Linked DNA regions of Elephas maximus indicus. The main gene of each other region encodes a partner of the protein of the gene in region 3 in a complex. Links are inferred from orthologs where the notes say so. Each region holds a gene or a part of one and is shown on either strand. Other genes may lie near its edges. The genes, in order: ARPC3, ARPC4, ACTR2 and ARPC2.

What was found.
Region 1: ACTR2 (region 3) and ARPC3 share a complex: the UniProt entries of both Homo sapiens proteins name them as parts of the arp2/3 complex. The link is inferred for Elephas maximus indicus from reciprocal best matches to the Homo sapiens genes ACTR2 and ARPC3.
Region 2: the proteins of ACTR2 (region 3) and ARPC4 are in contact, whole or in part, in a cryo-EM structure (PDB 6YW6), measured with the Homo sapiens proteins. The link is inferred for Elephas maximus indicus from reciprocal best matches to the Homo sapiens genes ACTR2 and ARPC4. Residues at the interface, in NP_005713.1 of Homo sapiens: Tyr222, Val223, Tyr225, Gln229, Glu230, Lys232, Leu233, Ala234, Leu235, Glu236, Thr237, Thr238, Val239, Lys253, Thr308, Met309, Tyr310, Pro311, Gly312, Pro314, Ser315, Asp346; in NP_005709.1 of Homo sapiens: Val29, Val30, Glu31, Arg32, His33, Lys35, Pro36, Glu39, Val40, Ala98, Glu99, Asn100, Phe102, Ile103, Leu104, Arg105, Arg106, Lys107, Leu117, Thr119.
Region 4: ACTR2 (region 3) and ARPC2 share a complex: the UniProt entries of both Homo sapiens proteins name them as parts of the arp2/3 complex. The link is inferred for Elephas maximus indicus from reciprocal best matches to the Homo sapiens genes ACTR2 and ARPC2.

What each region holds. Positions count from the first base shown.
Region 1 is NC_064840.1:9,035,968-9,043,439, forward strand, and holds the start of ARPC3 (actin-related protein 2/3 complex subunit 3), read right to left. Parts: upstream 3,017-7,472; 5' UTR 2,874-3,016; coding exon 2,868-2,873; intron 299-2,867; coding exon 199-298; intron 1-198. Other genes in the region: GPN3 (GPN-loop GTPase 3), read right to left, coding at 6,367-6,429, 7,017-7,145. UniProt on the Homo sapiens protein: Component of the Arp2/3 complex, a multiprotein complex that mediates actin polymerization upon stimulation by nucleation-promoting factor (NPF).
Region 2 is NC_064838.1:34,765,322-34,773,051, forward strand, and holds the start of ARPC4 (actin-related protein 2/3 complex subunit 4), read left to right. Parts: upstream 1-4,710; 5' UTR 4,711-4,814; coding exon 4,815-4,817; intron 4,818-7,730. Other genes in the region: TADA3 (transcriptional adapter 3), read right to left, coding at 672-777, 889-1,139, 3,022-3,228. UniProt on the Homo sapiens protein: Actin-binding component of the Arp2/3 complex, a multiprotein complex that mediates actin polymerization upon stimulation by nucleation-promoting factor (NPF).
Region 3 is NC_064835.1:71,461,544-71,468,559, reverse strand, and holds the start of ACTR2 (actin-related protein 2), read left to right. Parts: upstream 1-4,002; 5' UTR 4,003-4,098; coding exon 4,099-4,146; intron 4,147-7,016. UniProt on the Homo sapiens protein: ATP-binding component of the Arp2/3 complex, a multiprotein complex that mediates actin polymerization upon stimulation by nucleation-promoting factor (NPF).
Region 4 is NC_064824.1:116,784,049-116,791,208, forward strand, and holds the start of ARPC2 (actin-related protein 2/3 complex subunit 2), read left to right. Parts: upstream 1-4,154; 5' UTR 4,155-4,256; intron 4,257-4,475; 5' UTR 4,476-4,483; coding exon 4,484-4,557; intron 4,558-7,160. UniProt on the Homo sapiens protein: Actin-binding component of the Arp2/3 complex, a multiprotein complex that mediates actin polymerization upon stimulation by nucleation-promoting factor (NPF).

The DNA.
Region 1 (7,472 bases), on a different chromosome or scaffold from region 3:
TACAGTTTCCTGCTAGATGCAACACATTTAACAGTGATCATGAAAGGCCTAGAACACAGCATCGCCAAGGGATAGGAAGTATAGGAGCAACGTGAGACATAGGACTGAGACGAGAACTGCCTTGATCTGATAATGTCAGAGGGTTGCCAGGCATTCTACGCCCAAATCTGAAAGGGATGGAAAAGCATTTAGACTTACTCTCTCGAGGGGCTGGTCCTTTGAACTGACTTCTGATAGGTAGCAGCGCCATGTTTCCAATGAGTTTGGTGTCAGGGTCCATGAGAGAAGAGTGGTAGGCCTGTAATGGCAAGCCAGGTAAGAATATGGAAGCAGAAAGAGTGCAAATGTCATGAGACCAGACGAAAAAAAAAGGCGACCCCATCCAAGATTAACTAGGGGAGAAAAAGAAGGCAGCAGGGGTATGCTGGAGCTGGCTCTTACCAGCTCATGAGCCAATTTTGAGGAATACTGCAAGCTGGTTGTTAAACACAGCCATTATTAAAAATTAAATTATATAAACTTACAATTAAATAAATTGTATTTAAAACAAAGGTTTTTGTAGGTTTTTAAAAAAGCTCTAAACTGATCACTTCTTAATTATTACATTTTATTATTGCTGATGCCCTCAGTTACATCTTTTGTATCTTTGTGGTATAAATACTATATACTGGGGTGCAACTGTGCATCTTCTCCCAATTCCATGTTCAGTGACATCACACTGGTGGCTGGTAAGAGTATCTACACCACAGAAATTGGCAAACACTATATGAATTAGGGGTAGTCTCCCATCGCTGCTTGTTCAATATTTGCCAGGATCCAAGTACTAGCTTTTCAGCTCTGCCACTTCCAGGCTTTATGTCATTCACCAAGATGTCACATTTCTTCTCTTAGTCTGTTTCCCAATTTGTAAAACGAGAAGAGGTATACTACGTTCAGTGGGTAACCAAACCAAACCCAGTGCCGTTGAGTTGATTCTGACTCATAGTGACCCTATAGGACAGAGTAGAACTGCCCCATAGAGTTTCCAAGGAGCGCCTGGCAGATTCGAACTGCCAACCCTTTGGTTAGCAGCCGTAGCACTTAACCACTATGCCACCAGGGTTTCCCTTCAGTGGGTAGGGGTGAGTTAAAAGAAGAAAAAGAGAGCCACATTTTTGAGAGCAGTCAGCATGCTGATTCTTTGCTTTGCTTCTAACAAGTAAGACAACATGGGCCCCATTCATGCATTCCATGAACAATTACTAAGCACCTTCTATATGCAGGAAACCCTGGTGGTGTAGTAGTGTGGCGCTACGGCTGCTGACTGAATGGTCGGCAGTTTGAATCCACCAGGCGCTCCTTGGAAACTCTATGGGGGCAGTTCTACTCTGTCCCATTGGGTTGCTATGAGTTGGCATCGACTTGTCGGCAATGGGTTTAGTTTTTTTTGGTTCTACGTGCAAGGCACGGTGATAAAAAAAAAAAAAAAAAAAAACCAAACCCACTGCTGTTGAATCGATTCCGACTCACAGCAACCCTATAGTGATACAGTGGCATACAAAACCAGTCTGGTCCCCACCCTGAGAGAGCTTTCAGGCTAATGGAGAAAACAGACGTTAAATAAGTAATCACAGGCGACGCCCACGGTACTCTGGGAGCTAATAAAGGGGGGCACGCCCCGCACGCATCGGGGATCAATAAATGGTAGCCAGACGATTCCCGGAGTTCCAGCGTGGTGCAAACGGTTAACACACTCGCTGCTAACACAAGGGCTGGAGGTTGGAGTTCACGTAAAGGCCCCTAGGAAGAAAGGCCTGGTGAACTAGTCCTGAAAAGTCAGTCATTGAAAACGCTATGAAACACAGGTCTACTCTGACACACCTGGGGTCGCCATGAGTCAGAACAGAATCGACTGGTAACCGGTTTTTGTGAGTTTTCTAAACAGGATTCATAACATATATAGCTATAATTATGGCCTGCTCCTTCTCATAATACAGAGACTTTGTCTGCCCTCCCCTTCACCAGTTACCGTCTTGTTGCCTATTTCCTTCACAGCACTTGTCACTATCTAAAATGATCTCCTTTATCTGTTTACACGTTCACCGTCTCCTCAGTAGAATAGGAGTTTGTTGGACTTACTACTGTAAGAGCGCTCAGCATGCAGTAAGTACTCAATAATGTTTGCTGTATGAATAAACACGTTACTGAGCCTCTTCTTTCCTATCTGCAAAGTGACGATCATGACGGCGATAAATTTAACCCCGTAGCCTGGCTGTCAGAAATGAAGGACAACCAGACCTTCATCAATTTTTACTCCCATTTCGAAGCTCAGGAAAACGGAAGCATTTGTAAATCAGGCGCCGGCCTTGAGCGGGTTCTGGGGGGTGGACGCCACTGCCGAGGCGACAAGGGAGGAGTCCGGGAAGTGGGGTCTGAAAGATGACAGGCAGCGAGAGGGACCGCCCCCAGGCCGAGGAGGAAGTGGGCCTGACAAGGAAAAAGGAGAAGCCGGTCCCTGGACTTGAAAAAACGAAAAGTAAAAAGCCCAGCCCTTGGCTACGGCTCCAGCGAGCCTTTAGGGACTCTGCCGGGCTTGGGGGCAGAGCCGAAGGGGCGAGAAGGGGGTCAGGATTGGAGCGAAGGGGCGGGAAGTGCTGGGGCGGCCTCCCCGCACGCCCGGGACTCTGGCCCACTCCTCCTGGCTCCCGCATCCCACACCCCGGCCGCCCCGAAGCCGGCACCGAGGCCTCCACTCCTCGCCTCCGCTCTCCCCCAGGCCCCCGCTTCCTCTCCGCCCTCCTCGGCCCGCTCCTCTCTGCGCGCACAAGACCGCTCACCGCTCCCCCCAACCCCCGCCGTCTCCCCACACCCCTGGCCCGGCCCCTCACCGGCATCTTCGCGGCGCCCGAGTTTGGACCCAACTGTGCACTATCTGCTGGAGCGCCGCGCTTCCGGCCTGGCTGCCCGGGCGGGGTAGGCGGAAGTGAGCCGGAAGGGGAGGGCGAGGCGCTTCCGGCGTTCTGTCCCGCAGATGGCTGTTGCGGCTGCGGGGAGCCGAAGGGACGCCAGGGGGCGCCCGAGCACTAGACAGGGACTCCGTTGTGCGTGCATAAGGCGCGCACGAAAGGTAGTTGGGTCTTAAGGTTACAGGATCTCGGTGATCAATGACCTGCTGTTTTTGCTCAAATACCATCTTTTCAGTGAAACCTCCCCCGGCCGCCCTATTTTAAATTCAATCCCAGTCCAACCCCGCCTTACCTGTCCTTCTTTCCCACCTTTTCTCATAAAAAAAAATACTCCTCGTATATTCTATTATTTAGTTTACATTCGATGTTTGTGCCACCCCACCACGGAAGCGTCAGGAAGGAGGTTTGCCCCTTCGGTTCCCTGCTTATTCCCCAGGCCCATAATACTGATGGTATATAGTAAACATCTATAAATATGTGCTGAATGAATGAGCCGAACTCTTAAAAATGAGGAAACTGGAGAACAAGTGAAGGGAATCACGCATTTATTCTTTCAAGCTTGAGTGTGCACCGAGTCTGAATTCCAGCTCTAACATGTACTAGCTGCATAACTGTGGGCACGCTGCCTCTTTTTATGGAGCTCCGGTGGTGCACTGCTTAAGAGCTTGGCTCCTAACCAAAAGGTTGACAGTTCTAATCCACCAGCTGCTCCTTGGAAACCCTACACGGCACCTCAACTCTGTCCTATAGGAGTCACTGAGTCAGAATCAATGTGACCGCAACACCTTTGGTTTGGTTTAACCTCTTTGTGCCTCAATTTCCTCAACTGAAAATGGAAATAACAGTACCTACCGTGCTTTCTGACAATTAAATGAATTACATGCAAAATACTTTGAACTTGCATGGCTGGAACATATGAATAGTGCAGTAGTTTTTAGTCCTTTCCTAGAAAGGACCTCACGTAAGCCAAGTTCCTTCCTGCCTTGGAGCCTTTTCTTCTGGCAGCCTTTCAAACTGGAACACTCTACTTGCCACATGTTCCTACAGCTGACTTCTCATCTAGGTCTCTGGCCAAACTGCGCCTTATTAGACTTCTAGTGCTGCTGTAACAAAGTATCACAAAGTGAGTGGCTCAGAATCAACAATTTATTCCCTCACAGTTCTGGAGGTTATAAATTGGAATTCAGGGTGTCAGCAGCACCACACTCTGTTCGAAGGTTCCAGGGGAAGATCCTTTGTCTCTCCCAGTTTCTGGTAGCCCCTAGCATTCTGCTTACAACTGTAGCACAAGTCCGATTTCTGCATCCATGACCACATGGCATTCTGCCCTGTGTCTGTCTCTTCTCTTTTGTAAGGACATCACTCATATTGGATTAGGGCCCACCCTACTCCAGGATGCCCTCATATTAATTCATAACGTCTTCAAAGACCCTATTTCCAAGTGACAAAGGTACCAGGGCTTAGAACTTCAAGCTAGCTAGCTCTTTGGGGGACACAATTCAATCCCTAACAGCAGCTTTTCGAAGGGGTCTACATAATTCAGTGTAGCAAGAATTAAAAAGAAAAAAGTTACATCTTTCAAAATTTTAGTATTTGTTATTATTCAAGGCAAGTACAAAATTTTAAATGCTCAGGCTACAAACTTTGTTTAAAAAAAGAAAAATCACTGCCTGCATTTTGACAAAAGGGTGAAACCTACTCATTCAAAAATGTGCCCTGACTGCTCCAAATTCTGACTGGAAAACAAGAGTGTAATGAAGGGCTAGTGCTACCTTTTTGTTTCTTTTGTGTGTGTGGGTGCATACATTTTTAAATAGTTATTTAAATTTTTTAACTACAGGTAGTCCTTGACTCAAGGCGAGTCCATCGGAAGTCAATTCTGATGTAACTCCAATACCTCTTTTTTTTTTTTTTAAGTTTTCATTATTATTGTCTTTTATTGTCAGTATCTTTATAAATCTGACCTTTGAACATCTGCGAGTGAACTTCTGAGGATGAGAGCACCAGCCAATTATACACTGCAACAGTGTATGCAGTACATGGTACCAGTGATAAAAATGTGATAGGACACACAAAAAAACCAGACTGTCACAAGTATAGTTTGTCCTAACTCCAGCATGTTTTAAGAATCGGGGACTACCTATGTACAAATAAAACATTCTCAATGCAGAAAAACTGAAGATACAGAGAAGCAAAGCCTTATCTATATCCTTCTAGATTTCTTCATTTGGACATAGATTTCTTCATTTGGACATATATACATGTGTATATTTTGTTACAGTAATTCTCGCTGCCCCCAAAACCCTCAAAAATGAAACCAAACAGTAAAAATGTTAGTCTGGTCTTAAATGTAGTCCAGGTGCTAATTTATGTTATATACAAATCTATGTACACTCTTTTCAACTTTTAAAACCTAAACTGATGGAATTAAAACACCACCAAATGATTCCACTTTAAACAGCAGCAGAATAACTCAGAACATGATTCAGGCATCTGCGGACAAAGAGCCAATTACAGTCACGTGTTGCTTAACAACCATGATACATTCTGTGAAATAGGCTGTTATGCGACTTGGATGCTGTGTGAACACCGCATTACACACAGACAGGCCCTGGATTATGGGCCCCAGCCCGCCCACTGTTCCATCGCCTGAGCAGTAGCAGCCCAGGCCCAGCAGCCTCTGCCGCCACCTACCCACGAGACTTGCCTGAAAACTGTATTCACTGGATACAGGAGGCCGGCCCTGCCAGGTATGTGGCTGTGGGCTGGCCTGGGGCTGTACCAGCAGCCAGATTGGGACTTTGAGCACGTTCAGGTGCGGGGTGGGGACAGGGTGTGTAGATGCCACGGAGCATGACTGGTGGTGGCGGCTCTGGCTGCCACTGCTGTTTTGGTGAGGCCGCTTCCTGATCACGTGCAGCCACCTGGAGCCAGGAGCCTGCAAGCACTCCAGACCCCGCCAGCCACCCGCCAGCACCGCGGCAGGAGCTGTGGCAGGCACTGCCCTGTACCTGGAGTGAATGGACGCACAGCTGCTGGACGGGTAAACGAAGCCAGGAGGAGAGGAAGGAGAGGAGGAGACGGAAGACGAGGTGCTGCAGGGGTTGGGATGCGCCCTGGAACCCCACTGCTCATTCACTCTGGGGGTTTGGGGTCTTTAAAGCCATTACAACAAATAAAGTAACAAACAAAAGGAGAGCAGCTTCCCCTTTCAAAAAAAACCCCAACAACAATCTTACATGACCATGGACATATATGCAGTTGGATGTTGCCCGAATGGATGTTACGTGGTACATGACGGTAGTATTTTTTTCCATTAGAGTACGTAGCTTTCTACTACTGCATCCTCTAAAGAGAAGAATGTCTTGTGGGTTCAGCCAGAAGCTCTTCACGTGTACACAGTTAATTTTCAGTAAAATCTTCACTCATTCTGGCGTTCTCGAAAATATTCATCGAACATAGAAGATGACTCCTCTTCATGTTCCTGACCCAAGGGAAACAAAACAGAACACGCATTTCATTTCCTCTCAGGTAGACCTGGTATGTATCTACATATTTTCCCACTGATACTCTCTAATGAGCTAACACCCAACAGCAGCTCTGGGTGTTGCTTACAGGTAACGGCCAAGAGTAACAAAAGGCATGATTGGTAGGATTTTTCCAGGTATGTGGTAAATTAAAGCGCTTATCTGTCATTAGAAGCAGTTCTCCCTTGAGTTTACAGTCACTCACACTGATTCTCAGGTAACAGCCTGACTACCATCAGTCTTTCCACTGATGTATGAGAGGGCAGCCCAAGCTCAACAGCATAGCTTCTTGTCTTTGCAAAACCCCCCAAGCTCCGATTACAAGGAGACTTAGCTGAATCGTGTTGTCTCAACAAAAGGGGGAATAAAGCTGATCTGACTGCTGAGCACAGGTGTGAATTTCAGAGCTCACCTAGGAAAGCCCGGGGCACCGCCACCTCTCAGACAAAAATTAATCTGAGTTGCCTGAGTTTTGCAGGAGGCCAGTGAGTGTCAGGAACCATTGCCACCAAAAGCCATCCAACAGCCCAAGCTTGGAAATTACCTTTGGTTCTTTAAATTCCAAGTCTTCTCCATACTGAATGGCAAAATCAATATGCTGTAATACAACGTTCATGCTTTCTTCATCTGACTGGTCGTAAGGTAAGAACCGCACCATGCTGTAGTCATCGATCTGCAAGTTGGGGAGTTCAGAAAGATCCACTCTGAAGCTGTGCAAGATACATCATTTTCAACCTACATTTGAGCTCTATAACCTTTTGTATTTCCAATTACAAATGTGGGAGGGGGAGGGGAGAGGCAAAGGAGACAGCTGGAAAGGGAACATCAGCAAATCATTATTGATTTTTCTGACCTCTGACCTACTAGAACACTGTTAGCTTATTACTTAACTGGACACTTGCTGCTTCATGGGTATTTATCTGATTTCCCCAACTAAGGGAAATTTCAAAAGGGCATGAACAATTCTAAGATCCCCATATGGCCTGGAATACTAGACATA
Region 2 (7,730 bases), on a different chromosome or scaffold from region 3:
GAGACCCAGAGCCCTGAAGGCCCGTGTGAGCCTGGAGCCAGGGCAAGGTGCTTGGGGAGGTGGTGAACGCAGCCACAGAGAAGGGTGTAGCTGAGGAACAAAGATTGGGGCTGGGGCTGGGCTGCCAAGGATGAGACACTTGGACTTCACCCTGTGGGTAGTGGGAGCCAGGGGAGGCCTGGCAGCAGGGCTGGGTCATGAGCACATCCCATCATGACAGGTGACCTATAGGAGCCCCCCCGCAACTTCTCTGTATTTTCCACGTTTTATTTAGCGAAACGTGCCTTATTCTCATCACAAAAAATAAACCCTTATACCTATACAAAGAAAAAAAAAGCCCCTGGAAGCCTAAAAGTAGGGATGGTGTTAGGAGGCTGTATGGGTAAAAGCTGATGAAGGCTTGAACCAAACAGAAGGGAAGAGGATGAGGGCACAAAGGAGGACTCCACTGATGTAGACACTGCAGGAGGTGGAGACCACTTGGGTGGGGCTGAGGGGAGGCGTGCACAAGGAAAAAGTCAAGGTCGAGCATGGAGTCTGGATGGGTTTAGGGACAGAGGCTGGGCAGGGCTGGACAAGGAAAGTGATACATGTCTTTGATGTCTGATCTCTGACGCGTCTCTCACGCACCCTTGCTCTCTACCATGTCTACTGAGGTCCAGGGCTGCTACCTTGTAATGTTCAGCCTCATCTTCTGGGGGTTTCAGTAGCTCCTCTAGCGTGCGCACCTCCTCACTGGTGATATCTGCACAGTAGGGCTCCACTGAAGCCCAGAACCTGCGGAGAAAAGCAGATCCTGAATGGGCACTTCCTGCCCTATCAGCCTCAGCCCTGGACCCCTCCACTCCCAGAATCCTGAGGTCCCGTCTATGTCCTCCGGTCCAGAACCTGTTCGGGGCGTCATTCTTGGGGATCCGTGGCACGTCGATGGGGTCATCAGTGAATTCATATTCCTGGATCTTGGGCTGAAGATTTTTTGATTTGGGCCGCCCAGGGCCAGGGCCTGGCCCATGTCCCACCTTCCCTTCCAGTTTCTGCTTCTTGGGCTTTCCATGTTTGGGAGGAGCGCCAAGTTCATGGTCTCGACCTAGCTTCGGGAATCGTCGATCACCTTTCTTATCCTGCCAGTCTGTGAGGATCTGAAATTCACAGAGACTTATCACTCAGGGGGAGATGGAAAGACAAAGGACATTTTCCCTAATAAATAAACTAGGATCTAGAAACCAATAAGGCTTCCAAGTCTTTCCACCATCCTCCTACTCATCCTTCACGATCCAATTTCATTTCTCTGCCCTTGTCTCACAGGACTTTATTCACATACTTATTGTTCCATTCACTTGTTTAGCTCTATTCTGACTCCTCTCTGCCTCACCCAAGCAAGGCACATCATGTTTAGTAAAGGAGTCAAATAAATGTTCACGTCCCAGGACATGTTAACCCTGGGGAAGTATTCTGGTGGTAACTTTTTGGCGAAGGCAAGCAAGTCTCCCAGCAACCTTTTATTTCAAACGTCACCACAGCTGGGAAGTGTTCATCATACCAGTCACTCAACTTCTTAGATGATCAAATATAACTCTGTGCCACAGCCCTGCTCAAAATCTATCATGGATTCCCAAGGGCCACAAGTTACATCTATATATCCTGTGAGGCCCAGTGGAAATGGCATCCCCCTCCTTTGTGAGACTGGTGCTTCAGACCTCCACTGCAGACCCAAACATGTTGCTTGGTCATACTGGAATATGGCACACCCTCTCACTTCAGCTAGATTATAAACTACTAGAGACTGGAAGCTCATCTTCACTATCTCCATTGCCCAGGATCTGGCATGGTGCCTGGGACATAGGACTTGAGAGACATTTATATAGTGAATAAAAATAATCAAAGTAGAGTCAATAAATAACACTTGAAATGCTTCCTAAGTGTTAGACATAGAGCTGAGTCCTTGCAAGAATTCTTTTTATCCTCACTAAAAAAAAAAAAATTTTTTTTTTTTTTTTTAATGCTCTTAGGTAGGTCCTGTTACTGAGCCCATTTTGCAGACGGGGAAATGGATGCTCAGCAGAAACGTGAGGTAACTTTTTGAAGGTCACATAACTAGGAAGCAACAACAGTAGCAAGAGCTCAGTCCAGGATTCAAATCCAGATCTCCCTGCTCCGGTTCTCCTAGTATCCCTAACTACAACACGTTATCTGGTACGTGTCTGACCTCCCCCACCCTTTAACTGGCGAGTTGCCTGAGGACCAGAATTGTCTTAATTACTCCTTTAATTATTAGCACATGACTCAAAACGAGAAAAAAACTCATTGCCCTGGAGTGGATTCCCTCTCACAGGGACCCTACAGGACCAAGTAAAACTGTCCCTTAGGGTTGCCAAGGCTGTAAATCTTTAGGGAAGCAGATTGCCACATCTTTCTCCCTAGGAGTGGCTGGTGGGCTCGACCTGCTGATCTTTCAGTTAGCAACCGAGTGCTTTAACCACAGCACTACAAGGGCTCCTTCAGCTCATAATGGGGGGTAAATAAATGCTTAAACAAAAAACCAAACCCATTACCACCGAGTCGATTTTGACTCATAGCAACCCTATAGGACAGAGTAGAACTGCCTCGTAGACTTTCCAAGAAGTGTCTGGTAGATTCGAACTGCCAACTCCTTGGTTAGCAGCCGTAGCACTTAACCACTATGCCACCAGAGTTTCCAATAAATGCTTAGTGAATTATAAATCTTGCAAGTTATGAGGATCACGCACAATCTTGCAGATACAATACGCATGAATGTGCATGATCTTCATAAACTGCAAAACCTGTAATTCACTAAGCTTTTACCTTACCCCCACGTCCCATCCTTCTACCTCCCAACCCCCAACGTGCTGGGTCCTGTATTAGTCTACACACCCCCATAAGGCCCTGTACCCCAAGCCCCAGCAGGTGGAGCTAACTCAATGTCCCATCCTGCTATCTTGTCACAGTCCACCCCTGGCAATCCCCCCGCTCCATGACAAGGTCCAGCAGGTGGGGTATCACCTGGGTTTCTGCCTCCAGCACCCGTAGGCGCCGGCTCGCAGAGGAGAGCAGAGTCTCAAGCTCCAGCTGCAGGGTGTCCAGTTCCTCAATGCCAATGCCATCATCCTCGGAGCGGGCCAGCACTGCCGTGTAGCGGGGACAGACCTTCAGGTGGTCCACAGACTTGAAGTCATGGAACTGCAAGGGGCAGTCCTTCAGCTCACTCATGGCCCAGGATACGGAGCCCTGTGTAGCTGGAGAGTAAAGATTGACGAGGGACAAACTGTCACGAGAAAAGCCCAAGGGCTCCTTCCACTAGAGAGAGCTTCAACAAGGAAGTCAGATTTCAGTACCTTCTGACAATGCTGGTGGCTCAGCTCCTACTCACAGAGTACCCACTGTGTACCAAACTAGGTGCAGAGTACTTATAGGCTTATCTTGTGGAATTCATCACCCAACCCCAGGAGCAACAACCATTGTCATCTCTGTTCTACAGACAAGGAAACTGAGACTCTGTAAGGGTGGGCACAGGCCTAAGCTTACAGAAATGCAGTTTGAACCCAGGAAGTCTCATGTCTGTGGCCCTAATCACAACAATACAATGTACCCTGTTTTCCTGACACTGTTCCTTTTTGTCTCATCTCTCCTGGTTTCCAAGCATCTCATTTTTACAAAGTTTTCTGTGCTTCCCATGCTCTCCGTTGCCCACCTCCCCTTACCCAATTCTCTTTATCTATGTCCCTGATAGTGTCAGGAATGTGCGCTGGGTACCCAAGCAGCCCTGAGTTCAAGCTCAGCTTTTACCATTCTCTGCTTGTGGCCCTGAACATGTTATTTAATCTTTTTCCATCCGTAAAATGGGGACAAAAGAAGACAAGTCTATTTGTCTCTCTGAATCAGTTTCCCAGTCTGTAAAATGGGGATAACAACAGTACATACCTCCCTGGGATGTTCTGAGGATTAAGAGATGAGGCCCGTCAAGAGCTCAGCTCAGTGCCTGGCACAGAAAAAGTGGGACTGTTATAATGACTGGCTTCACCCATGGGTCGCCCCGTGCCCGCCCTCTAGGTACCCTCTAACGCGGCCCCCGCCCCCTCTACCTCCTCACTGCTGCCTCCTACGGCCCGGGGCCGCGGGAGGGGGAGAGGAGTTCCGGTCGGTGGGAGCAACCGCCCCGGAACTGGCGATGGGCGGGCCCCCTGCAGTTCGCCCGGGGGCGGGGAGACGGCTCGGGCAATCCCACTGTGGCTCCAAGAGGGGGTGCAGACCGCCAGCAAGGCCACTGCGGGTGGAATGGTACCCTTAGGGCGTACCCTAGAAAGCCTGGGGCTAGGGGCGGGGCTCAGCGGCCGGGATCTCGGCGCCAGGCGGCAGTTAGTCCCGGGGGCTGCAGGTAGGAGGAGCCGGGAGAAAGGATAGGGGCGCAGAACCGGAAGGAACGAAAGGATTCACCTCCTCACCCTGTCCTAATATGGTGCCCAACCTGAGACTGGGATGTACCATTGCATAACTATAGGAAGAGATTGTGGCTAAGGCGACAAGAAGGCCAAAGGCATAAGCGAGAACTATATGGATACCTGGAAAAGCTTGAGTTTCGATTTGCAACTTCCGTAGTCCAATACCATGATAGTTCTAGCGGGAAAACTTGCCAAGGATCTAAGTGTTCCTAGGATCCTCCTCCCCCCGCTCTGGAGCGGAGATAGTATCGTCCGGAAGTCCGGGCGGAGACTGCGGCTGCGCTTCTCGAGAAAGGGCAGGCGTCGCTGGGCCGGCCACTTCCGCACTTCCGCTTTCCGGCGCAGCCAGAGCCCGCGATGGTGAGAGAGCCGGGACCCGGGCCAGGGACCCCCGCCGTTCTGCTTCAGAGCTCTGGGTCTAGGGGAGACGCAGCTTTGCAGCAGAGGAGGCGCGGGGCCGAGGGATACCGGGGAGTGTGGGGGCGCGATGGGGCTGGGAGAAAGAGGGTGGGGCGGGGGCTGCTGTGAGGAGGAGGTGAGCGGTTGAGGGGGACGCCCTGGTAGGAAGCAGGCCTGTCGCTTCATGGTCCGGCTCCCGGAGCAGGTCGGGAATACTCGAGGCAGGGAGGAAGCCGGAAGTGGGACCTCCTAGGCCTGTGGAAGGCAGACACGTAGTAGGCCTCATAGCCCGTAGTAGGGCCGCTGAGGCATGTAGAAGGGCCAGCTCCCCACCCATAGTAGAACTGCAGTAAGTACACATAACTTTTCGTCTCCTAGCCAGTTGACCCCACCATTTCCCAAAGGAGGCGTTCACACTTCCTTATCCACTCTTCTTGGTACCCCAGCGCTGCTGCTACCCCACTGAAGGATCCGTTTGTGTTGCTTCCTCTCAGGCCCGGCCCTGGTCAGAACTGAACAGTGTCAGCCTTACTTTAGGATATGATACTGCTGATCCCTCCCTCCTTGGAGATCTTCCGTTTGATAAACGTGGTCGTTTCTGGGAGTTGTGACTTTGGCTCACTACCTTCCTCTCTTTACACTTCCTGGTGACACCTGTGTAGTCTCATGGCTTCAGTGACCTTGTGTATTTGGTGAGTCTTGAATCTGCCTCCCTTGCTCTGGCCTCTCTATCAAGGTTCTTTTGGAAATCTTGAACATACCTGGAAATCAGATCTCCAGATCAAAACTCATCTACCCTCCTAAACTTGCTTGATCTTCACCTGTGTTCTCTTTCCTAATTTTGTGTCCTCTCGGACCTCAGCTAGAACCTGCGAGGTTTTGTGTGTTTTTTTAACTCTTGTAATTGGCTCTTTTAAAGCAAGTTTATCGAGGTATTAGAAAAAAACTATGCCTATTTTATTAACGAAAGGGCAGGGGCGGGCCACCTAAAATTCACCGTTTTTAGGTTTAGATAGATAAGTAGCTGCTGTCGAATGGACTCCAACTCAAGGCAACCTAATGCAGAACAGAATGAAATGTTGCCTGGTCCTGCGTCGTCTTCACAATCATCTGCATGTTCAAGTCCATCATTGCAGTTCTTGTGCCAGTCCATCTCACTGAGGGTCTTGCTGGCCCTCTATTTCACGAAACGTGATGTTCTCTTTCAGCTGTTGATCATCCTGATGACATGTTGGACAGTGTTCTTTTGTGATTCATAAGGTTTTCATTGGCTAGTTTTTGGAAGTAAATCGCCAGGCCTTTCTTCCTGGTCTTCTTTAGTCTGGAAGTCCACTGAAACCTGTCTATCATGGGTGCCCCTTCTGGTATTTCAAATACCGATGCAGTAGTACAGCAAATTGACAGGTGGTGGCTTTTACCATGTGTGAATTTAGACAAACACAGGCATGTAACCACTACCACAGTCAACATTTAGAACATTTCTGTCATTCAAAAAAGTTTCCTTAAGCCCCTTTATAATGTCTTTTCCTTCCCCCCCACCTTAGGCAACTGCTGATTTTTTTTTTTTTGTATAGGTTTATTTCTTACGGAATGTCGTATAAATGGAGTTCTTTATTTTGTAGTCTTTTTAGTCTGGCTTCTTTCACTTCCCATAATACATTTGGAAGTCATTCATGTATAGTGTTCCATCATATGGGAGCACAGTTTTGGGCAGTTGTTTGATCCTCTTATGCTCTACATCTGTTAGTCTAATCTCTGTGATACCCTCTTTCTCCACTGCCCCAGGCCAGGCTCTCAACAGCACTTCTTAAATACCCCTTTCTGCGTTATGTCTCACTTCCCCCTCTAATCCATTCTCTGCAGAGCCACCATGCAGCTGCAGTCATGTAACTTCCTCCTCAGAAAGCCCCAACAGTCCTTACTGCCCCAAAAAAGCTGAACTCAGTAACTTGGCATTTGAAAATCTCCACGATCTTGCCACCTCTTTTACAGAATCAAATTCCCATATACAGCAACATTGTAGTCATTACCACTTCTGGAACTCTTAATACCCCTTTGTGTCATTCTAACTTTGCTGACGGTATTTCTGTCATTCATTCATTCTATAGAGAATGAGTAAGGCTCTTTGTGTTAGATACTGCTGACGTTATCGCTGTCATTCATTCACCCTACAGAGAATGAGTAAGGCTCTTTGTGTTAGGTAGTGAGCTAGATGCAGGATATATTGCTGTGAATAAACCAGACACGGTCTCTTCCCTCATGAGGCTTAGAGTTTGTGAAGGAAAAACTACAAAAGACAAGAAGAATGTGCCATCATGAATTGTAATAAATACTATAAAGGAGGAAAACCTGAGACATGAGATTGAATACAGTGGAGAGGCCTTTCTTGAATAAGCGGAGGTGGAAAGGTAGTTAGGCAAAGAGAAGAGAAATGTCTTATCAATAGATGGATCGGCATGTGGGAAGCCCTGGGGTGAGGAAAAACTTGGTTAATGTAAGGAACTGAAGATAGGCCAATGTACCTGGAAGGTCTACTGGGAACGTTCTTGTTCTATTTTTTGCTTTTAAATCCTGCTAATCCTATCTCTATCTTCAAATCAAACTCAGTTTCTTCTGCAGGTGGATTACTTATAAATCTAGTTATTTCACATTTCTTTGTATCATAGTCATTTACTTCGGTGTCTCCCCGACCAGGTTGAGAGAAATTTGAAGGTAGAGCTGGTCTCGATCATCTTGAATCCCCAGCACCTATTTCAGTGTGTAAGGAGCCCTGGCAGTGCGATGGTTAAGAGTTCAGCTGCTAACTGAACGGTTTGAACCCACCAGCCGCTCTGTGGGAGAGAAAAAACGTGGCAGTCTGCTTCCATAAAGACT
Region 3 (7,016 bases):
ACGCAGAGTTTCCAGTTGTCCTCTCCCCATGGAGTTGTGGGCAGCATTCACTCCTCCTGGTAAAAATCTGTGACAATACACACAGAGTACTGCTAACCAGGGAAGCTCATCTGAGGCTTGGTGTCCAGAGTTTTTAATTGAGCTCCATCATATAAACATGAATGACTGCCCACATGAATGATCTCAGTCTTCAGTCCCTCAGGAGGTGGTGGAGGTTGAGGTAATACTATGTGACCCAAAGGCACCCCTGGAAATCACTTTGATGCTATCTAGCTGGTCCAAGGCCCCCAGGTGTACAAAGATGCTCCTATGAGGCACAACATTCCTAGGGCTAAGAGATTACCTCCCAGAAGAGAAGGCAAAGGCCAGACCTCTCTCTTTGGGCAAGGTTAAATTCTTTAGAACACAACTTGCTTCCAACTAACTTGGTTTAATACTGTTTGTTAATATAAATACTTATCTTCGCAACATAAATAAAAATAGCTTGGAAGAAGTTAGATAATTGACAATATAAAGAAGTACTTTTCTGTCATAAGTACAAGCCTTTTGGTTTACTGACTTATAAACCAAACAATTAAATAAATCACATAGATGGCCCCTTCCTGAGTTTTTCAGGTACAGAATAAGAGAGCTAGATTAGATAGCTACAGTAATACTATCAGGTTGTAAAATGAGTGAACATCTTTGGATGGAATTAAAATTCTGCCCAAAACATTCTGTTATGGATTGAATCATGCCTCCCATAATTTATGTTGAAGTCCTAACCCCTGGTACCTGTGAATGTGACCCTGTTTGGAAATAGGGTATTTGAAATATTATCAGTTAAATATCAGACCATACTGAAGTAGGGTGGGTCCTAATCCAATCTGAGTTTGGTCCTATAAAAGAGGAGGAGAGACAGAGACAGACAGAGGAAAGATGGCTATGTGATGACAGAGGCAGAGTTGGAGTTATGCTGCAGCTGCAAGTCAGTGATATCTGGGGCTACCAGAAGTCAGTAAAGACAAGGAGGAATATTCCCCCAAAAGACCTGGGAGACAGCATGGCCTGACCAACATGTTGATTTGGACTTCTAGCATCCAGAACTGTGAAACAGTAAATTTCTCTTATTAAAAGTCACCTAATTTGTGGTATTTGTTATAGCAGCCCTAGGAGACTAATACAGATTCTGGTTCCAGAAAGGGGGATGTTGCTGTAACAAATACTAAAAAAAGTAGGAGTGGCATTGGAATTGGGTGATGGGTAGAGGTTGGAAGAGTTTTGAGACGCCTGATAGTCAAAGTTCAGAGTGCCTTCAAGAGACCTCCGGTGCGGGCTCAGAAAGAAGTGTAAACTGCAGAGAAAGCTTCTATCATGAACAGAATGTACTAGAAATGTGGACGTTAAATATGCTTCTGGTGAGACCTTAAAAGGCAATAATGAACATTGTTAGACCTTGCTAGCCTTACTTTTTTAAAGGCCCCAACTCCCCCATTTGTAAAATGGGGATATCTACCTAGCAAGGTTTTTGTGCAGGAAAACAGAAGGCAATGAGGCCCCCAAAATTCAATAACCTAAAATGTGAGGTCGCATTAGTAAGAAGTCAGTGGAATGACTAGGATGTGCCTGTCTGGTGGGCAGGAGCCAGTCACCAATAGTGTTGTATCTGGATCTACATCATCAAGGGGTTTTGCTGCATTTTCCATACTGTACTCAACAGGTATTTGCTGACATTTTCTACATTCTGCATGACTTGTTTTTAAAATCAGAAGAAAGTAATAAATGTTATTTCTTAAGAAGTAAAAATTAGTAATCCATTTCATCCCATAAGAAGGAAAAGTAAAAGACCACAGAAACGTTTGAGATCAATTTGCTAAGACCAATTAAATGTACTTCCAGGAAAACTGCACTGTGCTAGGCACTGGGGCCATAAAAGTAAGATATGGACTCTACTGGAGAAATTTATGAACTAATGCAGTATTTTTCAAGGTGTTCAGAAGGCTGAAGTACCTCAACAGCTGTTGAAGCAGGTGAAGGGAGAGCATATTACCCTGAGGCCTCCTACCCTCTCCCACTTCTCGATCTTCCAACTGCAGCTATGGCAGCTTTGCTTTTTACCTATTTGATATGTTGGGGTTCCATAAGATAAATTTGAATAAAGGATTCTATGCCTTTAAAAGTTTGAAAATCATTGGTCTAATAAAAGAACAAGGAGCCCTGCTGGTGCAATGGTTATGTGCTTGGCTGCTAACCAAAAGGTTGGTAGTTTGAACCCACCCAGTGGCTCTGCAGGAGAAAGACCTGGCAATCTGCTCCTGTAAAGACCGTTGTTGTTCGTAGGTGACGCTGACTCGGTTCTGACTCATAGTGACCCCATAGGAAAGAGCAGAAATGCCCCATAGTGTTTCCAAGGACAGGCTGGTGCATTTGAACTGCCAACCTTTCTGGTTAGCAGCCAAGCTCTTAACCACTACACCACCAGGGCTTCAAGCCTAGGAAACCCTATAGAGCTGTTGTACTCTGTCATATAGGGTCGCTAGGACAGCACCCGACAACAACAAATGAAAGAACTAAGTGAAAACAGGAGGCAGACTGGTATTATAGAAAGAATACTGTCTGGGGCTTCAGGATCCAAGTTCTACTCTAGTTGTACATGCTGTGCAGCCACGTAGAAGGTACAATTCTAGTTATCACATCTCTAAAATGTCATTTTCCTAGATAAACGTTAATGTCACTCATTCAATAAATACTTGTCCAGTGTAATAAGGTTACAACGAGGTTATTCATATATCCGTGCTAAAGTAATAGCAAAGAAAGGGAGTAAAGAGCATGTGGAGGATATCTTGATGTGATAAGTTGGGCCAAACCCACTGCTGTGGAGAAGATTCTCTCACAGTCACCCTGCAGGACAGAGTAGAACTGCCCCATAGCTTTTCCGAGGCTGTAAATCTTTATGGACTGCCACATTCTCCTCTGGAGTGGCTCGTGGGTTTTGAACCGCCGATCTTTCAGTTAGCAGCCGAACGCTTTTAACCACTGTGCCACCAGGGCTCCTCGAGAAGTTTCTCAGCTGATTAAAAAGAGAAAAAAAGTGGGGGCATTACAGATAGAGAGAACTGCACTGTTGAAAAGTATGGAATTAATAAACAGCTACCACTGAATGAATGCTTAGTCCATGCACAGAATTTTGTCCTCACAACAACCCGTGGAAGATGTCATCCCCACGCACAAACAAGGGTACACGCAAATCATAGAAGTCTTCATTGGCAGGGGCTGATTTGAAACTGGGGCTGTCTGATTCCAAAGCCAAGGCTCTGGTTCAAACATGTACATGTACCGCGCAGGTGTGAAGTAGCACGGGTGCTGCTGAGAGACGGAAGTGGTGAGCGAGGAGGCTGGAAACGTAGGCACTCGCTCTCGCTCTCTTTACTGTGGAGCAACTTGGGCAAAGGACGATTGGGCTGGAAATGGAGATATCAGTATAAATCCATGATTTCGAATAAATACGTGTGTGTATCTATCCCAGCTCTGTCTACTGAGAAGGCCTCGACTGGAAGCAATGACACACCAGGCCACGTTCAATGACGGGGTCTGCAAGGACTTCGGGTTTGCTCCCCGCCCTCCCAGCTGGCTTCTCTGCCACCTTCCATCGCCACCTCGCGGCACACCTGGTGCCCTTCACCTGCCTCCGCCTTCTGCATCGTGCAGCAGCACCCTCAGCTCCTGCGACGCCTTCGGGAGAAGGCCACAGACCCACCAGGTCGGCCGCCATTAACGCCCCAGAAACACCAGGAACCGGGCGCAGAAAGGAAGAACCTGTGTGGGCGGTGCCCGTGGCAGCGGCGCTGAAGCCCAGAGGGGTGGGCGGGGCCTTCGGCTCCTCCGTTTCTCATTGGAGTTTGTCCCTGCCAGTCGCGGCCTCCGCCCCACCTCCTCCGAGCCGGCCGTCCGGTAAAAGGCGGGCGGGGCGGGGCGAGGCGGGGCGGGGCGGCGACTTCCGGTTGGGGAAGAAAGTTGGGCCGAGGGAGGGGCCGCGAAGAGGAAGGAGAAGGAAGAGGAAAGGCCGGGCGGCGGTGTCTGTAGGTTGTGCGGCGACGGCGGCTCTCCCCCGGGCGGACGATGGACAGCCAAGGCAGGAAGGTGGTGGTGTGCGACAACGGCACTGGGGTAAGCAGCCGGCGGGGGAGGCGGTGGCGGGCACAGGCCCCGGAGGATGTGCGGGGGGCGCGGGGGCCCTTAGTGCCCGGGGCTCGCCTCTGGGCCCGGCCCGCCGGGGCGAAGGGGGAGCGGCCCGACGCTTCCCGCCTTCGCGGACTCGGGGAGCAGGCGGGCCAAACCCTCGGCCCCCGGAGCCCGCCACCCCTGCAGCCGGCCACCCCCGCAGCCCTCCCTGTCAGGGCTGCGGGCGAGGTCGGCGGCGGACGGGAACCCTACCTGCTGGCCCGGCGGGGGCCGGCTACGTGCACGCGCGGGGGCAATGTGGCCAAGATGCCCGGAGGGGTGAAAGGCAGGGTTTGTGGGATTCAAGATGGGTTCATCCCCAGGGTCGCCAGTGTGCAAAAAGGAGGAAGACCAAGAGGCCTTCCTCTTCCTGTATAGTTGAAGATACTGAACGGGAGGCAGGAAACGGGTTTAAAGAAAAAAAAAAAGGAAGTGCTGTCTGTCGTGCGCGCAGTGGGCCTCACCCCTTCGCAGTGAGGTTTTTTTTTTTTTTTTGAGGAGGGGGAGGCTCGTCTTTTTACTTTTTTCTGTATGTTGGTAATTTGGCCCCTTTGCAGTCCGGCGGAGACCACGTGCTCCATAGGATTATCCTGGGACATCTAAGACCCCACAAGGCCGCAGTGTTCATTCCACTGTCCTTGGGGGGATGGGAGTTAGTCAGTTTTGGTCTTCTGCCCCTTTTTTCCTTAGGTGCAGAATACAGATTTAGTCTTTAAGATCCTAAAATGCAAGCAATTGTAAAAATCCGACGAGAGCACTGATTTAGAAACTATTTGAAAGTTATTTCTTTCAAACGCCCTCCTATAATTAAAAAAAATGTATTTTGGGCAGCGGAGTCAATCAGCAAATTAGAAGATGGAAAGGTTACTTACTTTGGACGGGTGCTATACTGGTCATTTTCCCCTAGGTTACAGTGATTTCTAACCGTTTTGTAGTTGCAACGTTTTGTGACATATGAATTAAAATAGATTTTACTTATACTTTAAAATAAACACTTTGGAAACTGGATTGTTCAGGGTGAAAAATACCTGGTACTCACTTCCATACTACTGCCCTTGATTGAATTTGTTACGGATTTTTTTTTTTTTTTTTACAAGCAATAATTATACTAGTTTCATCTGAACCAAGTTACAAATTGACGAGAGTAAAAAGTTACCATATAACGGGACATCAATGCAAAATGGAGTACTTAAAAAAACGGCAGACCCACTGCTGTGGAAACATGTCTGAGATGTATCCTGAAGTTTTTTTAAAAAAAAGCTTTAGAATGATTCCATGTAATGTGTGCGTTCTTTATTAAAGATACTCATACGTCCACACACTGGTATCTATATTTAAAATTTTTGGAGGAATGCATAAGAAATGCCCATAGTGGTTGCCTCTGAGACAGGATAAGAGTAAGGGAAGTGGGGAAGAGGACAATTTTTTTTTACTATAAGCATGTATTACTTTTACAGTTAACTCAGTTAAAGGTGCTTTTTAAAAAAAGTAGTCTGATTTCCACTAGTCTCAAGCTGACCTCTAAATAAATTTAAAACTTTAAATTGAACTGAAATACTTTATTGTGTGAATAGGTCTGATATTCTCTTTAGAAATCTGAGCAACTTGTATTTTAATGGAGTTTCTCATCCTTGGGGGATTCTAGGCAACGAACCCTGTATTTGTAGTCTGTATTAGTGTTCTCATACTCTATTAGAATATGAATGTTAACTGTAAGGTGGCTCGTTTTTATCTTACTATTTTGTCAGTTTTGCTGATATTAGAAAGCCGATTGCATATATGTCATGGATTTGTTTTGTATCCATAATTTAAAATTCTAGTTTTTTAAGACAAAAGATCAGTTATGACATAAATGAGAAAAATGTAGTTAATTCAAATAAGAATGTATGTATTTGGTGTTGAGTTAAGGTTATTTTTGAAATTCATTCAGATTTTTTGTAGATAAACGCTTGGCTTAAAATGAAGAAACAGCTCTGGTAATATGTAATCAGGAATGCTGTGATATTTCTAAAAATTTGGAGGGTTAAGGACCACTTAGATTCTGTATTCTGTTTCTTACTGCTTATGCTTCTAGACTTGAATAGTCATCTTGATCTTATTTTATGTGCCTGAAGTCATAGTGTTTCCTTTACAATTACATATTAAAGAAGATATTCAGATTTAATTTCTAAAAATTATTTTTAAAAAAAAGCTACTACCCTGAATTATTGTCATTTGCCCTTTACACACTTGAGGTTTTAAAATTCTAATCTATTTGAGAAGTTGATGATTTTTTTAACCCATCTCACAGGCCCAAAATTGGATGCTCTTAGGAGTGGATGGGTTTTTATGATCACGTACCAGACACTGGTCCTGCTCCATTTCCTCACCAGCCCCCAACTAGACCACTGTTTCATTAGGGTGAGCTGTAGGAGGAATACTTAAAATTTATGTGCTTTGGCCTTATAACTGTTCAAACCTGTCGGCTAGAACAGAGCCCTTGAAAACAGACAGACAGACAAAACTCTGGAGACCTGTGGGGCTCTAGGTTTAGGTGCCTTTGAAGAGTTGGGCCCTAGAGTTGTGTGTATCCTGTTACCAAACTTGGATGGTTTCATCAGTAGTGAGTGAGTTCACCAACAACAGTGAAGACTTCCTGGGTGCCTACTGTGTGTGTTATGGCACAATGCATAAGATCTGGTGATACAAAGTAGTGTATGCTAGAATAATTATATTTTCATTTTTAATACACATTTGTGGTTGATAAAAAAAAAAGCCCCCAATGCTGTTGAGTCGATTCCGACTCATAGCGACCCTGTAGGACAGAGTAGAACTGC
Region 4 (7,160 bases), on a different chromosome or scaffold from region 3:
TAAATCATTGTTTTAAAACCATTATTTTTTGGTGGTAGCTTGTTACCCAGCAAGAGATAACTGAAACAATCCAAAGATAGAATCCTGAGGAGTTCTAGTTTAGCCAGCCTCCAACATGACCCCTAATGATCCCTTCCTCCTGGTATTCATGCCTGTGTGTAGTCTTTTCCCACACTGTATTAGGGCTGGTCTGTGTGACCAAGATAATACAACAGAAGTGATGGCAGGCTATTTTATAAAAACACTGTGGCTTCTGCCTTGTTCACTCCTGGATCATTCACTCAAGGGAAGCCAGCTGCCATGACCTAAGAAGAGGAACTGAGACTTAGTGACATCAGCCAAGGAGTGAGCTTGGAAGCAGATCTTCTAGCCCCAGTCAAGCCTTTGGATTACCGCAGCCCCTACTGACATCTTGACTGCAATTTCATGAGAGATCCCGAGCCAGAAAAATCCAGCTAAGCCACTCCCAAATACCTGACCCACAGAAACTGTGAGATAATGAATGTTTGTTGTTTTCAGCAGCATAACTGGGGGTAAATTGTGATGCAGCAATGGATAACTAATAGAATGTAACATTTTTCATCCGTTATGTATATAAGCAGTCTCTTGTGGGAGCCTGAGTTAACAGGAATTCAGTTTGACTTACTGATGTTTTAACGTCCCTCATAGATTGATACCCTGGTGTCACGGGGCTAGGCTGCGTGTTATTCCTGCCTGGTCTCCAAAACATCTTTCACAGGATGGCCAGAATGGGCTGATCATGCCACTCCCCTGATCAAAACCCTTCCATGGTTTCCCATTGCCCAGCTTCTACCCATGTTACCAAGTAGTTTCAACAGAAGAACCAGATGGTGATATCCCTGGTCTAGTGGCCAAACAGCAGATTAGTCCAGTGGTACAGAGAAAAAGGCCCAAAGAGTGACCAAGACTGATGGCCAGGTCTCCGATGGCATCTCCTTTGGCTCCAAGGCCTTTGTCTCATTTCCCCTCTCCCCTAATCTCAGGACTACACCCAACAACACTCTCTCCCAGCACTCTAGAGAACACTGCCAAACAACTCACACTAAAAGCCATTTTTAAGAGAGTTGGAATGTCTTTAAGACTATTAAGGAGAATATTTAACATTTGAGTCTGAGACGTTAGCATTTGGATCATTCCATCTATGCTCAGCTACCCTAAGGATAGGGCTTGACTTACAACTGCAAGACTGTAAGGGTTCTGTAAAGCAATTCCTCCCAGAATAACCATCTGCTCCTTATTTTGTCTTGACCCCACAGGAAACACAGAGCACACTCAAGATAGGATAATTCAAGGAGGGTGTATTTACAAAGGACTATTTAAAAAATACTGGGTATTTTCGGGTTTAAAAATATGTGGGTATAAGAGAATCACAAGACAGTGCAGTAACCCAGGACTAGTAGCAGCCAAACTAATACTGCCCCTAGGCCCAAAAGGATGAGGGGAGGGGTCAGTTATCAGGACCTGAAAGGAAGAAGAGAGTGGTTCTGACTGAGGTAGAGCAGTGACATTTGGTTGAGGGACATAGCCAGCCTGAGGGAGTCTCTGTATCTCTTTCTTTTCCTGCTGGGGCTCCCTATTGGCCAACCAAAAGCCAAAGGGCAAGGGGGCCCAGCTGATGTGGGGATGGAAAAGGGTGAAGAGTGGATCTGGAGGACGAAACAGAGAATAGCCAGACAGCCCTCCAAGATGAGCTCCAGCCTCTATCTTTAAGACTGAAAGCATCAGATTTCTGGCTATCCTTGAAGAATCGCTTTCCCTATTTAAGCCATCAGGGTTCGGAAGGGTGACAGTCCAGTCAAGAAGTTGTCATTATTTTGTAAACGGATATTGACAGATCCAGTTTCTCACACCTTGATTTTATCAAACTCCAAACTCAAATACAGAACTATCCAGTTCATTTCTGTATACTAGTATTGCATAGTGGTCAAGAGCATGACCTACAGAGTCTAAATATCAGCTGAGCAACCAGCCAAACCAACCCAGACCACGATGAAGGAATATCCCAGAATGGCGGCTGTGCAGCAAGTCTACAGAGCAATTAATCTAGATTGAAATAAGAGGAAGGAATGTTCTGGGACAAAGACTTCAGAGAAAAATGAAATTTATATTTTTGAATATACAGAAAATATTATTGGTAGGTTTTTTTTTTTTTTTTTTTACGCAGAATCTTAGAGCACTTGGGAGGAAACAGCCAACTATAAATATATAGAAAATCAGACAAGTAAGGGTAAAAAGGCAATAATTAACCTAGGAAAAACTGAAAGGCTGTGTAAGCTAGAAGGCATGCATACAGTGCATTTCTTGGCTCCTCAATGATCAATATTTGCATACATAACAAACATTGATTATTGACTTAACCAAAAATTGTTTCTTCAGTATGTGTGGATGTGGGGGTAGGGAGGAGGAGAAGTGATGGAGACAAATTCTCACCTACCTTGGCAGGAAATCAGATAATGCTCAGAATTAACAAATCAAGAAATAGTGGTATAAGCATTTATTTAGAAATGTGGTGATAAATAGCAGGATGAATAAGAGGATATTGCCTCTGAAGAGCGGGCCAGGGAACTGCTTTTCTCACTGCAAGTCTTTTAATATTAAACCCAGTGCCGTCGAGTCGATTCCAAAGGCTTTTAATATCAGAAACCAAAAAAAAAAAAAAAAAAAGTTGTCGTGGAGTCAATTCTGACGCAAGGGGCGCACTGGTTAAGAGTTGGGCTGCTAGACAAAAGGTCGGCAGTTCCAATCCACCAGCCGTTCCCTGGAAACTCTATGGGGCAGTTAGTTCTACTCCGTCCTGTAGGGTTGCTATGAGTCAGAATATACCAGACAACAACGCGTTAGTTATTTTTAAAGTGTGTATGCGTTGGAAACCCTGGTGCCATAGTGGTTAAGTGCTACGGCTGCTTTTAGGTTCTAAAAGGTCAGCAGTTTGAATTCGCCAGGAGCTCCTTGGAAACTCTATGGGGCAGTTCTACTCTGCCCTACAGGGTCGCTATGAGTCGGACTCGATAGCAGTGGGTTTTTTTTTTTTTGGTATATGCGTTACTTTAATACAATAAATATTTTTAACACGTTAGCATATAATTTGGTAGGATCTGCAATTTCCTGAAGCTTATCCATGGCCCATAAGAAATCTTTTCTAAAGGGCTGTCTAGGCCTTGTTGATAGGGGTTAGTTTTGTGTTCCTTTTCTTGGATCCCTCCTCCCCTCAGAACACTTAACAGAAAATTAAGTATTGCATGTAGAAGGGACTCATCTAAGTCTCTTAGTCTCCCTGGGGTGGGGAGGGGGAGGGGCGGCAGATACAAAACAAGACACACAGGCGGAAGGTGCAGATGTACCACAAAGGTGAGTTCAGATTCTGCCTGAAGATGAGGTGGACGGTATGTCTCTTGCAGAGGTACTGGAACGTGAAGGTTTCCAAGGCAGAAGAGATTACGTTCAGAGCCGCGCCCGGAAGCTGCTCCCCCAGGCACAAAAATGGAGGCGTGACAGGAACCCAGGGAGGTCCATCTAAGTTGCATATTCACCTCAGTGACTTCCCATTTCTTTCTTTTATTGTCCTTTTAACAGTTTGAAGTTATATACTTCAGCGTTTACTTGTTTGTTGTCTGTTTCCTTTACCAGACCATAGGCTTCATGAGAGCAGGGCCGCGTCTATTTTTTTCACCGCTGTATCCTCTGCACAGAGAGGAAGCCCACTAAATATTTGTTGAGAAACGAAAAGGTAATGGTGCAGCTAGGCAGCCATTAGCGCGGATGAGGAAGGGATACCGAGAACGAACAGGCACCAAGAGCAAAGGGGAGATGAACTGGGAGATGACAATGGGAAGCTTCATGCGGGGATCTCTAAAATGACTAGACCGGAAAGGTAGAGCTGGACCTCTGGGACAAGCGGGAGGGAGGCGACGGACAGTGAAGAAGGCCTCAGAGAATGACAGCTGGGTAAACCACATATTTGAAGGGGCTGGATGTAAGGGGGTCTGTGGGAAAGTGGAGGCGGGACGACGGCATCACGAGTGCGCAAGCGCGGCCTCGGTCCGCAGGCGTGCCTGCGTGCGCGTGCACGAGGGGTCGGAGCGGAATTGGCGCCGCGGGGCCGCGCGTAGGGCGGCGAGCGGAAGTGGGTGTGAGAGCGGAAGTGACCGGCTAGAGCCGGGGGCTGGGCGGGGACCGGGCTTGTTGGTGAGGCGGCGGCGGCGGCTCGGCAGGCGGGTTGAGGCTTCCGGGGCCAGGTCGGTCGGGTGGGTGGGTGGGTGTCTCCACAGTGTGTGCGTGCGCGGGCTAGCGCGCGTGTCCTTCCCTTCCCCCCCATCCCGGCCCCTCTCCCCTTTTCCCTTCACTTACTACTCCACCCAGGCCCCCTTGTCAGGGGCAGCAGGGCCGCTCCCTCTGTCCTTCCCTCCTTTACCCATCCTCACCCGCCTCGTTTCTCCTTCCCCTGCCCGGGGCAGCCGCCGCCATGATCCTGCTGGAGGTGAACAACCGCATCATCGAGGAGACGCTCGCGCTGAAGTTCGAGAACGCGGCCGCCGGGTGAGCGCGCGCCCGGGGCCAGGGGTGGCAGCGGAGGCAGAGCTCACCCCCGCCAATCCCCAGTATCATCCAGGGTCCCCACACCTGGAGGAGGGAGATGGGGGGCCTGGCAGGGTGTGGGGGCCGCCCTGGCGGTGGAGACGTGGGCGCGGCGGGGTGAGGGGCAGAGAGAGATGCGTGGGGCGAGGCTCAGAGGAGGGATGCGGAAGCAGTGAGTGGACAGTAGTGCGCGTGCCAAAGGGAGACCTGTAGGGCATGAGGGCAGCTTGGGCCTGAACTCACTGGAGGATGCCTTTGCCCTCTGGAGCGAGGAGGGGACCCCTTCCCTCTGTTGTTCCCGTCATTGTTCTGAACCCGAAGAGAGCCCATTTGGGATTGGGTTGGAAGTTTTCAGGGATTCCCAGGAATGGAGGAGGGAAGAAGATACAGGCCTAGATTAGCACCTGCATTCTTGCTCTCCACCCCACCTCCTCCCTAAAGGAGCTAGAGGGAAGACTGGAAGCACTGGCTTCCTTCCCATCGATTCCATCTCCCCAATCAGACCCAGCCGTACAACCGGAAAAACGCGATTTCTATAATTTCCCTTTCCCCGGACCCTACTGTAAGAAGAAACTGGCCATTTTGTTACATATTTCTCAGAGTTGACAGTCCCTCCATCCACATCCATCCATTCCTTATCTGTCTTCTGAGGTTCTAATGCTACTTTCCCCACCCATTAGCCATTATTTGGTTATCTTGAAATTCTTGGTGCAGGACCCCTGGCCCGTGATTTCTTCTGTGATAGTCTTGGCCCAGTGACACACTTCTGAGCCGCCTAGGTCTGTAAAGTTCTTAGATAACCTTCATTGTTGGCCTTTTTAAAGATGGGCTTAGAACATTTTTCTAAGGCAGTCTTCTCAGTTGAACACAAGCATCAGTAGAAGACAAACAGCCCCCTCCCCCAGAGCTGCTTTGGGTTTCTAATATAGTATTTAAAATATGAGGCCAAGGAATTGGCTTTATCTTCTAATTTTTAGTGGCCTGTGGCCAGTCCTTTTGCTTCATTTCCCCATCTGTGAGGATGGGGCTTCACATCTTAGTTTCAGTTGAGGAACTGGATGCAAAGTGTCTATGATGAACTGGGAAGTAATAATAGGAAAGTAAATGCTTAGAGATCCACAGATGGGAGAGGCTTGCTGGAGGGGACATTCTGAGTAATCGTAATGGACTTGTGGCTTGGAGGCAATTAAAAAAAAAAAAAAGCTCTTCTAACTCACTGCTTAAATTGAATGTATTGTGAGTCTTATGAGTCTTATCTATTTTTTAAGCCCACAGATTTTATCTGTAAAACAAAGCACGGACTATTCCTTGAAGTAATGACATGCAGTGAGCAGTACTGTTTCTTGCCAGGGATGATAGTCGCTTATATTTTAGGCTAACTTGCTTCTTCTTTTCAGTCTATCATGCCATTTCCTTTGCACTTTAAATAATTCAAGTGAATCAGCCTAGGGTCTTTTTTGGGTGATTGCTGTGTACTTTTTTTGAGCAGTGTAGCACATAGGAGGAAGTTGAGCTAACTTCTGCATTTTCACAACTGATCTTAATGCATTCTCAAGTCCAGACTAGCAAAGAATGAGACCTGAGTGGCTGTAAGCAGATCCGCCTGTGGATTTTCAAGTAGAGGCCTGCCTTGTATGCAGGAGTACCTTCACATCTATTTGTGTATTAATAACTTGTGATTCCCAAATGTGGCCCATTGTTCAGAACTTCCAGCTGGTTTTCTTTTAGAAAATTACTCTTAGAAAGAGCAGCTAACCATTTCAGAGGGGTTAAAGCAGGCCCTCAAGTCAGGAAGGGGTAAGTTAGAACTTCCAAGACATTCGTTAAAAGATTTGTGTTGTATTGATGTTGGATATGAGGGAGGGTGTTGAGCTTTCGCTTTTATTGTATGCCCACTTATTTAAAGTAGTTTAAATAAGTGGGCTTAAAACATATTCTGCTGAAAAGCTCTTGGGAAATCTTTGAAAAGAGACCGTAATATTCAGACCTACTAGGTAGGGCTTTTCTGGGATTGCAGATGTACTCTAAGCAGAAGCCTAATTTCAAGCCAAGTGTGCTTTTCCAGGCATACCAGTAAGGTAAGGCACCGATGAAGCAGTTAAATATTTATCACAGTGCATGTCTACACCAGAACTTCCACAAAGGATGACTGCTATGAGAATCATAAACATATATGGGATTCTGCCGGTACTCAAAGGAGCCTTGGTGGCACAGTGAGTGGTTAAGCACTTGGCTGCTGACCGAAAGATTGGAGGTTTGAACACACCAGTCGTTCTGCGGGAGAAAGATGTGGTAGCCTGCTTCCGTAAAGATCACAGCCTTAGAAACCCTGTGGGGCAGTTCTGCTCGGTACTATAGGGTCGCTATGATTCAGAAATGACTCAAGGGCAGTGGGTTTGGCTTTGGTTTTTACCAGCACTCAACACCAGGCAGGAGCAAAAAAGAAAAAAAGAAGCCGGCCTTTCTGAGAGAGCATGTTGGCAAAGTTACAGAGAAGCTAAGGGGTGAGATGTGCTGGGGTGGAAGATAGAGAAAGACCTTAAAGAAAAATGCTGAGAGTTTGA